Linked DNA regions of Elephas maximus indicus. The protein of the gene in region 1 purifies or fractionates together with the protein of each later gene. This does not show direct contact. Links are inferred from orthologs where the notes say so. Each region holds a gene or a part of one and is shown in the gene's direction. Other genes may lie near its edges.

Region 1 (7,827 bases):
AGTCCATGGTATATTCAATATTCTTCACCAACATCATAATAATTCTTTTGTCTTCCTTATTCATTGTCCAGCTTTTGGATGCATATGAGGTGATTGAAAACACTATGGCTTGGTTCAGGGGCACCTTAGTCCTTAAAGTAACATCTTTGCTTTTTAACACTTTAAAGAGGTCTTTTGCAGCCCAATGCACTAGGTCTTTTGATTTCTTGACTACTGCTTCCATGGGTGTTGATTGGGGATCCAAATAAAATGAAATCCTTGACAACTTCAATTTTTTCTCTGCTTTCCACGATGTTGCTTATTGGTCCAGTTGTGAGGATTTTTGTTTTCTTTACGCTGAGGTGTAATCCATACTGAAGCCCGTGGTCTTTGATCTTCATCAGTAAGTGCTTCAAGTCCTCTTCACTTTCAGCAAGCAAGGTCATGTCATCTGCATAATGCAGGTTGTTAATTTGAGTCTTCCTCTAATCCAGATGGCACGTTCTTCTTCATATAGTCCAGCTTCCCAGATTATTTGTTCAGCACACAGATTGAATAGATATGGTGAAAGGATTCAACCCTGATGCACACCTTTCCTTAAGTCACACAGTATTCCCTTGTTCTGTTCCAATAACTGCTTCCTGATCTGTGTACAGGTTCCTCATGAGCACAATTAAGTACTCTGGGATTCCCATTCTTCGCAGTGTTATCCATAATTTGTTATGATCCACACAGTGGGATGCCTTTGCATAGTCAATAAAACACTGGTAAAACATCTTTCTTGTATTCTCTGCTTTCAGCTAGGATCCATCTGACATCAGCAATGATATCCCTGGTCCTCTTCTGAATCAGGCTTGAATTTTTGGCGGTTCCTTGTTGATATACTACTGCAGCCGCTTTTGAATGATCTTTAGCAAAATTTTACTTGTGTGTGATATTAAGAATATGGTTTGATAATTTCTACATTCAGTGGGATCACCTTTCTTTGGAATAGGCATAAATATGAATCTCCTCCAATCATTGGCCAGGTAGCTGTCTTCCAAATTTCTTGGCATAGATGAGTGAGTACTTTCAGTGCTGCATCCATTTGGTGAAACATCTCAGTTGGTATTCTGTCAATTCCTGGAGCCTTTTTTTCACCAATGCCTTCAGTGCAGCTTGGACTTCTTCCTTCAGTACCATTGGTTCTTGATCATACGCTACCTCCCGAAATGTGTGACTGTCGACCAATTCTTTTTGGTACAGTGACTCTGTGTATTCTTTCCATCTTCTTTTGATGCTTCCTGGGCTGTTTAAAATTTTCGCTGTAGAATCCTTCAATATTGCAATTCGAGGCTTGAATTTTTTCTTCAGTTCTCTCAGCTTGAGAAATGCTGGGTGTGTTCTTACCTTTTGGTTCTAACTTCAGGTCTTTGAACATGTCATTATAATACTTTACTTTGTCTTCTTGGGCCGCCCTTTGAAAACTTCTGTTCAGCTCTTTTACCTTATCATTTCTTTCATTTGCTTTAGCTACTCAATGTTCAAGTACAAGTTTCAAAGTCTCTTCTGACATCTATTTTGGTCTTTTCTTACTTTCTTGTCTTTTAAATGACTTCTTGCTTTCTTCATGTATGATTTCCTTGATGTCATTCCACAACTCGTCCGGTCTTCGGTCATTACAGTTCAATGTTGTTGTTGTTGTTAGGTGCCGTCGCGCTGGTTCCAACTCATAGTGACCCTGTGTACCACAGAATGAAATACTGCCTGGTCCTGCACCATCCTTATAATCATTGTTATACTCAATGCATCAAATCTATTCTTGAGATGGTCTCTAAATGCAGGTGGGATATACTCAAAGTCTTACTTTGGCTCTTGTGAACTTGTTCTAGCTTTCTTCAGCTTCAACTTGCACTTGCATATGAGCAACTGATGGTCTGTCACTTTGTCTTACTGTGGGGGTTTGCGTGCTGCTGTAATGCTGGAAGCTGTGCCACTGGTATTCAAATACCAGCAGGATCGCCCATGGCAGACAGGTTTCAGCTGAGCTTTCACATTAAGACAGACTAGGAAGAAGGACCTGGCAGCCCGCTTTTGAAAAAATTAGCCAGAAAAAGCCTTGTGAATACCAGCGGAACATTGTCTGATACGGTGCCAGAAGATGAGCCCCTCAGGTTGGAAGACACTCAAAAGACGACTGGGAAAGAGGTGCCTCCTCAAAGTAGAGTCAACCTTAATGACGTGAATGGAGTCAAGCTTTTGGGACCTTCATTTGCTGATGTGGCACAAGTCATGAGAAGAAACAGCTGCAAGCATCCTTTCATTTGGATGATAATGATACCACCTTATGTCATAGATCTGTTTTGAGCATTAAATGAATTAATTCATAGAGTACATTTTGTTGTTGCCGTCGAGTTGATTCTGACTCATATTGACCCTATAGGACAGAGCAGAACTACCCCATAGGGTTTCCAAGGAGCAGCTGGTGGATTTGAACTGCCAACCTTTTGGTTACCAGCCTAGCCCTTAACCACTATGCCACCAGGGCTTCATTTTACTACAATTATTATCATTGCATTGATATTTTAATTGTATAGGTAGTTCTCAAATACTTATTAAAGTTTGTGGCTTTGTTTTGGCATTTTGGAACCAAAAATTTCTTCTTTTTGTCTCTGGGGGAAAAAAAAGTGTTATAGGCCTTTGAAAATCCCTGTGTGGCACAAAGGGTTTGTGCTCAACTACTAACCTAAAAGTTGGAGGTTTGAACCTACCCAGTGATGCTGCAGAAGAAAGCCTGGAAATCTGCTTCCTGTAAAAATTACAGCCTTGAAAACCCGTGAAGCAGTTCTACTTGTAACATATGGGGTTTCCATGAGTCTGAATGGACTGGACAGGAAGGTTTTTCCTAGGCACCTAAAGGTTAAAAGGACCCCAGCCCAAGATCCCAAGCAGTCTGACATCAGGGCAGGCATCCTTAGGTAAGAAGATCCATGGCTTCAATGGGCTTCAGTGGGGAAGCCTGGGTATATGAAGGGCAGGGGCTAAAATATGTACCCCTCCCCAAGGATTAGTTTCCTGACTGGCATGGCATGGCTGTTTGGAAAAGATACTTGGGATATTCATACTTGTCAAGGGGCCCTAGCTCAGCCCAGCCCTTCAAGTGAGAGTAATAAAGCGGGAAGGGTCATTTCAGGCCTTCCTATCCCCTCCAGCAGGACCCTCAGTAAGGGTGGTCCCAGGATTTCACGTGCAGGGCTGTTCAGAGAGAGGTTGGGAACAGATCCGAATCTGACCAAACCCTGCTCCCATTCTATGGAGGAGGCAGATTGCAATACAAAGGCACAGCTCGCTCTAGGGATGAGAACTTTGAGAGAGGGATGTTCTTTGGCTCTGGAGGGCCGGAGGACTGAACCTGAAGGCAGGGAAAGCAGGGAAGGCCCTTGGTGACCCCTTGTGTTACAGAGTAGAACTGTGTTCCATAGGGTTTTCTTGTAAATCTTTACAGAAGGAGCTCTGGTGGCGCAGCGGTTAAATGCCTGCCTGTTAACTGAAAGCTTGGCTGTTCAAACCCACCAGCTGCTCCACAGGAGAAAGATGTGGCAATCTGCTTCTTTAAAGACTGAGAGCCTTGGAAACCCTATCAGGCAGCTCCACTCTGTACTATAGGGTCACTATGAGTCAGAATCAACTCAACGCAACACAATGGGTTTTCGTTTGTTTAATCGTTACAGAAATAGATCGACAGGACTTTTTTCCAAGGCACCACTGGGTGGATTTGAAGTGCCAACCTTTAGGTTAGTAATCGAGCACAAACCATTTGCGACACCAAGGAAAGAGAAGACATTTATGTACAGTGCACTCCAAGTAGAAAGTACAGCTCGAGCAAAGGCTTGTTGGCATGGAAAAGCAAGATGTGCACCCAAACCAAACCCGTTGCCATCTAGTCAGTTTCAACTCATGGTGACTCTGTAGGACAGGGTGGAACTGCCCCAAAGGATTTCCAAGGAGCGACAGGTGGATTTGAACTGCCAACCTTTTGCTTAGTAGCCTGAGCTCTTAACCACTGTGTTACCAGAGCTCCAAGATGTGCAAGATGTGCATAGATGGCTCTAATTTTCCAGAACTGCTGGAGGGTAAAAACGAGAGGGGAACGTAAGCACAGTAATACCTATTCAAAACCACAACAGTTTTTAATTTAAATACCAGCTCGCGAGGCTTGCGTTTTATCCAGGGAGCAAGGCAGGTCGCCACCCTTCCCTGACCTTCGGTTTCCCCGGACATAAATCAAGGACCCTTTCTCTCCCCTCCTCCTTCTCCCGCAAAAAAGTCCAAGAGAGTCTGCCGCCAACCAGCCTGGCCACCGCCTCACAAGTCAAATCCCTCAGACTACCCGGGTCACCCCATGACGTAATTCATCCCTAGCGACGCACGCGCAGAACCCTCCTCCCGGACTCGCCGAAGGACAGGCTTCGCCTCCTCCCAATCCCGTCTCTCATTGGCTAGAATCAACTGTTCGTCTCTGCCGTTGTTAGCGGCAACGTAGGTGGGCACAATCCTGGTCGCTAGGATACCGCATACTTCCGTTTCCTTCCCACTCTCCAAGGCTTCTTCAAGTCCAATCTCGTCCATTCGACCAATGGCAAATGGACAGTAGGCGGGACTTTATTTGCCCGGACCAACGAGACGCAGACTTGGCCCGCCGTAGCACGGCCAATGACCGTAGGGCAGCCCCTGTAAAGTGGCTCGGGCGCCCCCACGCCCGTCTTTCCTCCTCCTCCCAGCCCCGCCCCTCCCCATCCCGGTTTCAGCCCGGCGCTGGCCGCAGTCTGACAAGAACGGGACAGAGCGAAGATGGCGGCGGCCGACGGCGACGACTCGCTGTACCCCATCGCGGTGCTCATAGACGAGCTCCGCAACGAGGATGTTCAGGTCCCGAAGCTACAGGGGACTCGGGGAAGACGGGAAGGGGGACGTAGGGGCGCGGGCGATCCTCGCGGACAAGGCTCAGTGTTCGCTGGGAGTGGCGGAAGGGGGCGCCGGCCAATCAGCGCCCAGTTCTTATGTCTCCGGTTCCCTGAACCCGATGAGACAGTGTTCTGGATTGGGTGTCGACACAGCGGAGGGCGGGAGCGCGGGCCGAAGGGTCCCAGGCCTGCCAAGTGCGCGCGGCGGCTCCGGGGGTGGGAGGCCAAGGCCACGCGGGGAGGGGGGGTCTGCCACCTGGGTGGGGGAGAGATTGGCTGTGGCCCAAATGGTCCCTTGGGGATGGGCTGGGCGCGTGACTAGTTCCGTGGGGGAGGGGCCTCCTGTTTGGCTGGGTCCCGGGTAGGTTTACTCTTTCCTGGGTTTGGGCATCTGGGCCGCAGTGCTAGGGGATCAGCTCTACCCAAATGGTACCGATGGCTGAAGGCTTTCTTCCCAATTCCTGCGTTCCCCCTTCCAATGTTGATGTAGACGCCCGAAGAGGAGGGGCACGGAAAAACAATCCTCTAAGGAGTGAACTAGCCAATTTTAGAAGCGAATTTTGTAGAAACCCGCTCTCTTCTCCCCCCAGTTTTCCCATTGGATGGGGGATGCGCAGTTTCCTAAACGTGCTATATTTTTGTGATGAGCGAGGCGTATGGGAATAGGGGGGCCCAGAGCCGTGAGCCCGTCTGGGGAGGAATTGAGAAGAGTTAAGGCATCTCTGAAGAAAGGACTGGCGATCCGCCTCCCAAAGGTCTTAGCCTTGAAAACCCTATGGAGCAGTTCTACTGTGCGCACATGGCGTCGCCATGAGTCAGAATAAAGTTGATGCAAGTTAACAACACGGCTTCGTGGTTAGTAACCTGAGTGCCCTTCCCATGTCCACTTCCCTCCAGTTGTGTGACCTTCGCACATTACCACACCCTTCTAAACCTCTGTTTGCCATAATCGTGGCCTAATGATAGTCCTGGTCTCCTTGGGTGGTTGAGAGAACTGAACAAGTTAATAATGCAAGTAAAGCTTGGCCTATTGTAAGGGCCCAATAAATGTTAGCTGTAATTATTGGAAGTGGTGATTGAAGATGTCCCATCTTTTGGGCCTCAATTTCCCATTTGTAAAATTGAGGGAAAGGGGTCCACTTGGAAAGCGGCGCTCAGGCTCCGAGGCTCCAGACTCTTGTTCTGGAGTCAGACAGGCTCTGCTTGTATTCCTGGCTCCTCCCCCTTACCAACTGACAGGAGCAAGTTAGTTAATCTCGCTAAGCCTTGGTTTCCTCTTCTGTCCAATGGGGATAATTACCTAGTTCGTAGGGGTGTTCTATGAATTGAGTTGTTCGATAAACACTTGCCATGTATCTGGTAAGGAGCCTTGGTGGCAGGCACAGTGGTTAAAGCGCTCGGCAACAGGTCACCTGTTCACCCAAAGGTTGGTGAAAGGTTGGTGCTGGCTCGGAAGAAAGACACTGCAGTCTGTTTCCTTAAACATTACAACCTCGGAAACCCTATGGGGCAGTTCTACTCTGTCCTACAGGGTTGCTATGAGTCAAAATTGACTCCACAGCAGTGGTTTTTGTTTTTTTTTTTAATGTATCGGATAGGAGTACCTGGGTGGCGGAGATGGTTAAAGCGCTCAACTGCTAGCCAAAAGGTGGACAGTATGAACCCACTCACAGGTGCTTTGGAAGACAGGCCTGGCCTGACCTGGCCTGGCAATCTGCTTCTGAAAAGTCACAGCCTTGAAAGCAGTTCTACTCTGACACACGTGGAGTCACCATGAGTCGAAATCAACTCCAAGGCAACTAACAACAATAATAACGTGTATCAAGTGTGGTGCTGGGAATATAGGTGGCACCAGCTACTATGCAGGAGACAGGTGTGAAGCATGTGAACATCGTGTGAGAAGTGGTGGGAAGGAAACAAACAAGTTGGGTTAGTGAACTAGTAAATATCTGTTGGGCCTCTACTCTTCTACGGGGCACTGTTCTAGGCACAGGGATACAGCAGGGAAAAAGGCACAAAAATTCCCAGCTTCTCAGAGCTTAAGATGTAGTGACAATAAACAAGACAGTAAGGAAAATGTATAGTACGTTAGAAGGGGATAAGTAGCATGGAGAAAAATAAGGAGAGATGGGGTGCGATTTTTAGAAGAGTGCTTAAGGTGGCCCTGCTGAGGAGACATTAGAGCAAAGACCCAATGGAGGCAAGGTAAAGAGCCATGAGGCTCTCTGGGCAGAGGACAGGATCCGTACAAAGTGGGGTGGGGGCGATCCATTTTAGGAGATGCAGGAAGGCCTCTCTGAGGCTGTGAAGCTCAAGAGAAGGTGAAGAGCCTTCCAAGAAAAGACATTTAATGGCAATAGTTCTCAACCCAGGGTGATTTTGCCCCTAAGGGGACATTTTTCAATGCCTGGAAACATTTTGGGTTGTCACAACTGGAGGAGTCCTACTAGCACCTAGTGGGAGAGATCAGAGATGCTGCTAAACATCCTGCAATGCACAGCATAGCCTTCCACAACAGAGCTGTCCAGCCCAAAATGTCTGTAGTACTGAGGTTGAGGGGGGCTGCCTTCTGGGAAAGCCTGGAGGCGCAAAGGAGCTTGGTATTTTTAGGTTTCTTTTCTTTATTCCAGTTCTATTGCTGCTGTAACAAATGGCCTAACTTAGTGGGTGGATGGTTGTCGGTGTGTGCCACTGAGTTGATTTCGACTCATGGCAACCCTATGTGACAGAGTAGAATTGCCCCATAGGGTTTTCTAGGCTATAATCTTTATAGAAGCAGATGACCAGATCTTTTCTCCCGCAGAGCAGCTGGCAGTTTCAAACTGCTGACCTGTCATTCAGCAGCTGAGTGCTTTAACTGTTGTGCCACCATGGCTCCTTCTTAGTGGCTTAAACAATACAAATT
Region 2 (7,218 bases), on another chromosome or scaffold:
GGTGGGTTTGAACCACCAACCTTTTGGTTAGCAGCCAAGCACTTAACTGCTATACTACCAGGGCTCCATCCTATCCCTAAAAAAAAGGTGTTCTTAATTTCTTTTCCTTTCTTTTAACCAATAGCAACAAAGCCTACTAACCCTGAATTAAACAAGTTAAAAGTAAACTAAAAATTGGCCTTTACCTTTTCTGGATTGTGGTGAATTGTCCTTTCCATTGTTCTCCAGGAACACTACAAAAGAGATTGTAAAAACCAAATCATCACAAGATTAAATTCCTACTGAATCAAAAGCTATTTAGTGTATTTAGAAACTCTGTAAGCAAGAGCTCTGAAAAGTTAAGATTTTCCTAAAATGGTTTAATTGAAAAGTGGTTGTTACACTGTGATGGGATTAAGGAACTGATGTACCCTACTCTGAATTTCCTCCTTCCCCTCAGATCCCCTCCTGCCACCCTACTCTCATCTTCTTTAACTCCAAATTTATCTCACTGGTGCTGTATAGAAAGCAGTTGACCTTAGTAGTGTAACCTCTAAACAAAACCCAACTCTAACCTTCTCCACAATGCCGCCAGAGATTTTTCTAGCCCAGAATAACTTCTCTCTTATGTTATTATCTTATACACCACGGTTATTTAACTGTCAGGTATTGTATTCCCAGTTAGGGTGTGGATGCCATCCTAAGAGATCTTCCATCATAAAGCATTCTCAGTTCTTAGCCTAACTGGAGGCATTAAAAAACTATTTATATATTTATTTGCTCAATCATCTTAACCTTTACTCTTTCTCCTTGCATATATTACCATCAAATCCTATTGGTTCCATTACCTCCCCAGTTACTTTATTTAGGACCTCATCATTTCTCGCCCAAGCCTACAATTGCTTCCAACAGATCTCCCCATTTCCAATCTTAATCCCTCCCCAGTCTACACTTCTCAATGCCTTGGCAGTTCCCTTTCTAATACCGCTTCAAAACCAGCACTCTTGACTCTCAGGCATTCAAAGATTTTCACAGTCTGACGACTCCTCCACTCGTATTCAAAATCTTTGTTAAATGACTGAATGATTACTTAGCCCAAAAGACAATTAAGTGTAATTTTCACTTCAACACTTTATAAATACGATTTGTAGTAGAAAAGTAAGAGAAAACCAGAGGGAAGGGATATATTTTTAGAAAAAGAATCTAAAGCAAATTAAAAAAAAACTAGTTTTTTTTTTTTAGTTTTTTTTTTAATTAGTGGTGGAAAAATAAAAGACTGGAGCAACAACAGGCATGTAGCCAATAACAAAAAATAAAAGCAATGGGAAAGTAAAGGAGATGGCCTTGGAGAGAAAGCAGCCAAATGATGGAAATAGCCAAAGGAACTAGAAGCATGAAGATCTCCCATTTTAATATCTGCATATCAGATTTGATCACGATCCCCCTGTCAGCTCTAATCACCTAAACTGATGAAGAGCAGAGACTAAACAGAATACATACCTGCACACCAGTCGCTAGGTTTCAGGGGAATTTCTGAAAATACTAATGTGAACCAGAAATAGCTCCAGCCAAATGCTATTACCTTTTCTTCCTATGAACTCTAGTCACAAGTACTGACCATTAAGCATCAACATCATACTAGGTGACTCAAAAAACGAATCATCCTTCTAAAAGGAAAAAATACATGAAAACTATAAATGCTCTAAAATTTCCCTTTTATGCGATGGGTGGAGACTAACACACATTATTTTCACTGCTACTTTTTAAAAAACTTTTTCAAAAAGTTTAAAATTTTTTCTTGAAACAAATCTTACTACGAGATGGACAATAAGTACACTCTGAATAACAACTGTTCTCAGCAATGACCAAAAAAAATGGGCTACTTTTATGTATAGGTATTAAAAGCACACATCTAAAAACAACTCACAATTACCTCTCAAACCATGCTTTTATACTATGTGCAAATGACTCCCCAGGATATAGCTGATTATTTCTCAGATACAAAAGAATGTCTAGTAGTTTGTTTGCATACTGATGGTCCTTTATATCTTTTCCAAAATCAAAGAAGGCTTCTAAAGTTTCCAACATAGGTATAAGATCATGACCTAGCAATTTCTGATACAGATTCCAAGCTGTGTTTACATCTTGATGAAGGAGGGCTCCCTGGATACAGTCATCATAGTTCCTTTTTGAAGGGATCATGACTTTTTCGAAGTCTTCTAACAGCAGCAAGGCCTCTCTCCATCTGTCTGTATGGATTAATCCCCGGATAAGAAGACTGTAACCCGCTGGTTCTAAAATTTTGTATCTGACTTTCATGATTTCATAGACGTCAATAATTTCTGATTTCTGCTTATGAAAGACACAGAGATATAAATACTTCACCAGTAAATCATAGCTTACAATACCATTGTTTTTTGCAGCTACCCACGCCAACAGAGATTTGGCCACATCTATAGAGCTACGAGAGTAAGTTATCTGTGAGCTGATCCAATTTTCGAAATTGCCCTTTCCTTTGAAATCTTCCTTAAGTTTATCCCACTCCTCTGAATTCAAAGGTCTTGTTGGGAGTTGAATAGTGTCCCTCAGAGGCGATGAGACAGGCTCTTTACTCTGAGGATTCATCTCTGCTCTCTTCCGAGCTGCTCCAGCTGCAAAAAGATGAGGAGAATCAGAAGAAACTTGCTTATTACTTCCCTCATCTCCTTTCCTGTGATATCTGGTCTTGGCTTTCAGGAGATTCAGTGCTTTGGTATTCTGTGGAGACGCTGTTTTAAGAGAAAACCACCTCTGTCGGTTCCAGATGCCATAGCTGTCCACGAGAAAGAGAGAGTGAGGAGAGTATCCTGGGACTAGCCCAAGGTACGGGTTATTCTTCCAAAGCTTAGAAAAGCTTCGAAACCCAGACAAACAGAAAGTCATTATGCAGGGAAATCAGCACCAGATAGCGAGAAAGATGTTCAAAAAGCCTCTACTTCTACAGCAAAATTAGGTGCTTGGGGGTGGAGCGGTAGGAAGAGGACGAACAACTTTTAAAAAGACTTCCAGTTTCTCCTTTAAAGATAAATCAGGGTTCTTCTTTTGGGAATAGATGATAGCAACGAAGACCGGTTAGCTATCTCCATTAAACAACGGTCAGGGGATATCCGACCTCGGTGGCAGGCCCCAGAACTAGGGGACACGGCAGAAAATCCTGCTCTCCGAACTAGGATCCTCCGGTGCTTGTTATATTCCCCACCGCGAACCTGAGGAAAAAGCACAAGGCGGGCTCATATCAGCTCACGTGGATCACGAATGTCCTCAAAAGGGGCAGGATCCCCTGACAGCCTTGCTGAAAAGGGGGCGCAAAGTCGAAAATCGCGACCAGGAGTTGCTAAACCCAGGCCCGCCAGCAACAAAGACAAACGCGAAAGTCAAAATATAGGGGGCCCTCACCACCGTTCCCCGGGCCGCAGCACGGGCCAGAAGGGGTGTGGACTGGGGTTAGCCGAGTCAACAGCTCAGGTAAGGAAGAGAGGTCCACGAACCGCCCGGCCTTGACTGCATACCGATGGAGCACAAACAAAATTCACTTCATTCAACAACTCACCACATCACTCACGTTGAAAGCAGCCGTAAATACGGCGGAAACTACCGCGTCCACAATGCACCGGGACAGTCCCGGCCCGCAGGGGCCTGAGCAAAGCGGGCGCGGGCGTTCCGCTAGGCCTAGACACGAGAAAAAGGGTGATTTCGAGGCTTTTAGCGGCAGAAGGCGCTGCTGGAAACGTGTATAAGATTCAGGGAACCTTTAGGGCCTCCAGATAACCGCAATGAACAAGGGAAACAAATTGTGAAGGAAAAAAGCCCTCCCCCTGAGCCGGAAACTCCAGTGGACTCCTGAGTCACGTGGCAGACACGCGTTAAAGAACCAAGACGAAAAAAAGCACGGCTTTCTTTATCCGGCCCCTTTAAAATCGAGATGGATGAGGTTGGGAAGACTCCTTAAGGAGAACCATTTTCCTTTTTAACTTCTGCTTTCCGACCGTAGCGTAATCGCCGTATTCTCCGCGACTACTACCGTAATCGTTTTTGTTTCTTTAACCCAGACTTCCGCCCATGTCCAAGATGGCCGGTTGAGCCGCTTTCCCAACCCTTTCGGTTACCGGGAGGCATCTGACGTCCGAGCTGGTCGGGGGTGGTGCAGTTAGTCAAAAGCAAATGCAGGAGCTGCAGCGCGGAGTTCGCCATGGACTGGAAAGAAGTTCTTCGCCGGCGGTTAGCGACACCTAACACCGGTCCACACAGTGAGTTTGGAAAGGGCCACCGGCTGGGATAACCCGGCCCAAACTTCGGGGGTCGGATGGGGAATAATGGGAAGGAGGAACCACTGGGAGCCTCACTCTTCCCTTCTGTAAAGCCGCCCCTGACAAAGGGGGCGGAGTGGATTGTGGTTTCGAATCCAGAGAGGTTTGGTCTGAACTTTCCATTGAGAGGATTGAGGTGAAGAAGAGTCATTCACTTCCATGGTCTTCACTTAGACTTGTGAGGAATAACTGAGAACCCCGGCTCCAACAACTCTCAGACCCTACCAGAACTTTAACCCATTGATCTTGCCGCCTTTTACTGTCACACTTCTTGTGCTTATTTCCCTGCCTACCTGTCTTTGATTTCAGAATCCAGTTTTCTTGTCCCTTTCCTTTTCTTCACACTCAACCTGTTAACCAATCTGGTTAAATCCGTCTTTCTTCTTATTTCCCTGCACCCAGGGAAGCTGAAAGTGACTGGAAAAAACAGAACCGTGATGAGTTCTCTCTTTTAATTCGTGCCCAGTAACCTAAACTAGGTCTTTTAGACACTTTTACCATGCTTTCCCTGGTGGCACAGTGGTTAAGCGTTTGGCTGCTAACCAAAAGGTTGGCAGTTCCAATCCACCAGCCGTTCCTTAGAAACTCCGAGGGCCAGTTCTCCTGTGTCCTGAAGGGCCACTATGAGTCGGAATCGACTGGATAGCAACCAGTTTGGGTTTTTTTGGTTTACCATGCTTTCTAGATGTTAACTCTCCTATACTCTAAGGTAATTCTTTTCACTCCTTCTCTCTCCTCATATCTCCAGTATGTCCTACCCACTCCCTGCTTGTGATGAACTTGTTTTTTACATCACTGAGAGAATAGAAACAAGCAGAGGAGAACCTCACCTGCTCCCATTTACCATTTCTGTCTGCCCCTACATAGATGCCCATACAGTCTTACTGTTAAAATGATGAACTAACTGTCCATGCTTCTATTTGAGACAGTCCTTCTCCTCTAGCATTAGAGCATTCCCTCCTATTCACTGAGTTCACTCCTGCATTGTCCTCTCTCATGCATCATCAGATTTCCCTTCTCTACTGGATCATTTCCATCATTACTGACAAACATGCTGTAATATTCCTGTATCTTAACAAAAATCATTTGGTCCCACATCCCCCTCTAGCTTCTGACATATTTCTCTGAACCCATTGTAGGAAAGCTTCTCAGAATAGTTGTCTATACTTGTACTTTTTCCACTTTCTCCTACTGTTCTCTTTTGAACTCAACTTTATTCTTTCACAGATATTTATTGTATGCCTGTTATATTTCAAATACTGTTCTAGCTGTGCAGTGAACAAAACAGACAAAAATCCCTGTCCTTATAGAACTTACACTTTAGTGTGGGGAGAGACAATAAAGAAAATAATTAGTAAATTATATACATTATACAAGGTCCTGTTTAAGGCTGTTTCCTTCATCAGCATTTTAGATCCCATCCTTTGTGCTAGATCCCATTCTTACCTACTCAAGAATGTACTCATGCAGTTGTCCTGTCTTCTGTATCATCAGTTTTTATTCTTCTACGGCTGGGTTGCTGGTCAGTGCATGGTTGTGTTCGTGCATGTGGATTCTGTCTGTAGCAACAAATTTGAATACGTTAAAAACTGTGACTAGGAGAATGATGGCTATATGTCTAAATACTACCCTTAAGCATTCAGAGTGGCTTAGGCTAATCCATTCCGTAAATCCATTTCAAAAAACATTTGTTTAGCACCTACTAAATACCTCCTAGTAGAAAACCTGATGGCATAGTGGTTAAGAGTTTGGCTGCTAACCAAAAGGTCAGCAGTTTGAATCTACCAGGCTGTCTTTGGAAACCGTATAGGGCAGCTCTACTTTGTCCTGTAGGGTCACTGAGTCAGAACCAGCTTGGCAACAGGTTCTTCTTTTTTTTTTTTTTAAGTACTTACTGGAGCCCTGGTGGTACAGTGGTTAAGAGCTCAGGCAGCTAACCAAAAGGTTGGCAGTTCAAATCCACCAACTACTCCTAGGACAACCTAAAGGGCAGTTCTACTCTGTCCTTTAGGGTTGCTATGAATCAGGATTGACTGAACAGCAATGACTTTTTTGGACCTCAGGTGGCACAGTGGTTAAGAGTTCAGCTGCTAACCAAAAGCTCAGCAGTTAGACTCTACCAGCCACTCCTTGGATATCCTGTGGGGCAGTTCTACCCTGTCCTATAGGGTTGCTATGAGTTGGAATCAACTTGACAGCAACAGGTTTGGTTTGGTTTAAGTACCTACTAGGAAACATGGGGAGCCCTGGTGGTGCAGTGGTTAAAGCTTGGCTGCTAACCCAAAGGTGGGCAGTTACAATCCACCAGCCGCTCCTTGGAAACCCTATTGGGTGGTTCTACTTTGTCCCATAGGGTCGCTATGAGTTGGAATCAACTCGACGGCAGGGGGTTTAGGAGCCCTGATAGTGCAGTAGTTACGCGCTTGGCTGCTAATGAAAGGTCAGCAGTTCGAACCCACCAGCCACACTACAGGAGAAAGATATGGCAGGATGCTTCCGTAAAGATTTACAGCCCTAGAAGTCTATGAGGCAGTTCTAGTCTGTCCTATAGGGTCACTATAAGTTGGAATCGACTCGATGCCAGTGGGTTTGGTTTGGTTTTTGGTAAATACCTACTAGGAACCCTGGTGGCACAGTGACTTGGCTCCTAACCAAAAGGTTGGCAGTTCAAACCTACCATCCACTCCACAGGAGAAAAGATGTGATGGTCTGCTTCTGCAAACATTACAGTGTTAGAAATTCTGTGGGCAGTTCTACTCTGTCCTGTAGTGCCACTAAGAGTTGAAGTTGACTCAATAGCAATGGGTTTGATTTTTTTTTTAAGTACCCAAAAGAAAGGGAAAATTATGATTTGATATGATATTAAACTTTAAGATTTCAGAAGAGGACTAGG

What was found. Proteins that work in one complex are often made in the same cells at the same time.
Region 2: the proteins of PPP2R1A (region 1) and PPP2R3C purify together in Homo sapiens (co-immunoprecipitation; 3 studies listed by BioGRID and IntAct, with this or other methods). This does not show direct contact. The link is inferred for Elephas maximus indicus from reciprocal best matches to the Homo sapiens genes PPP2R1A and PPP2R3C.

Annotation. Positions count from the first base shown.
Region 1 is NC_064829.1:94,755,120-94,762,946, reverse strand, and holds the start of PPP2R1A (serine/threonine-protein phosphatase 2A 65 kDa regulatory subunit A alpha isoform), read left to right. Parts: upstream 1-4,729; 5' UTR 4,730-4,809; coding exon 4,810-4,887; intron 4,888-7,827. UniProt on the Homo sapiens protein: The PR65 subunit of protein phosphatase 2A serves as a scaffolding molecule to coordinate the assembly of the catalytic subunit and a variable regulatory B subunit.
Region 2 is NC_064828.1:47,442,900-47,450,117, reverse strand, and holds the start of PPP2R3C (serine/threonine-protein phosphatase 2A regulatory subunit B'' subunit gamma), read left to right. Parts: upstream 1-4,183; 5' UTR 4,184-4,207; coding exon 4,208-4,265; intron 4,266-7,218. Other genes in the region: PRORP (mitochondrial ribonuclease P catalytic subunit), read right to left, coding at 186-233, 1,913-2,901. UniProt on the Homo sapiens protein: May regulate MCM3AP phosphorylation through phosphatase recruitment. May act as a negative regulator of ABCB1 expression and function through the dephosphorylation of ABCB1 by TFPI2/PPP2R3C complex.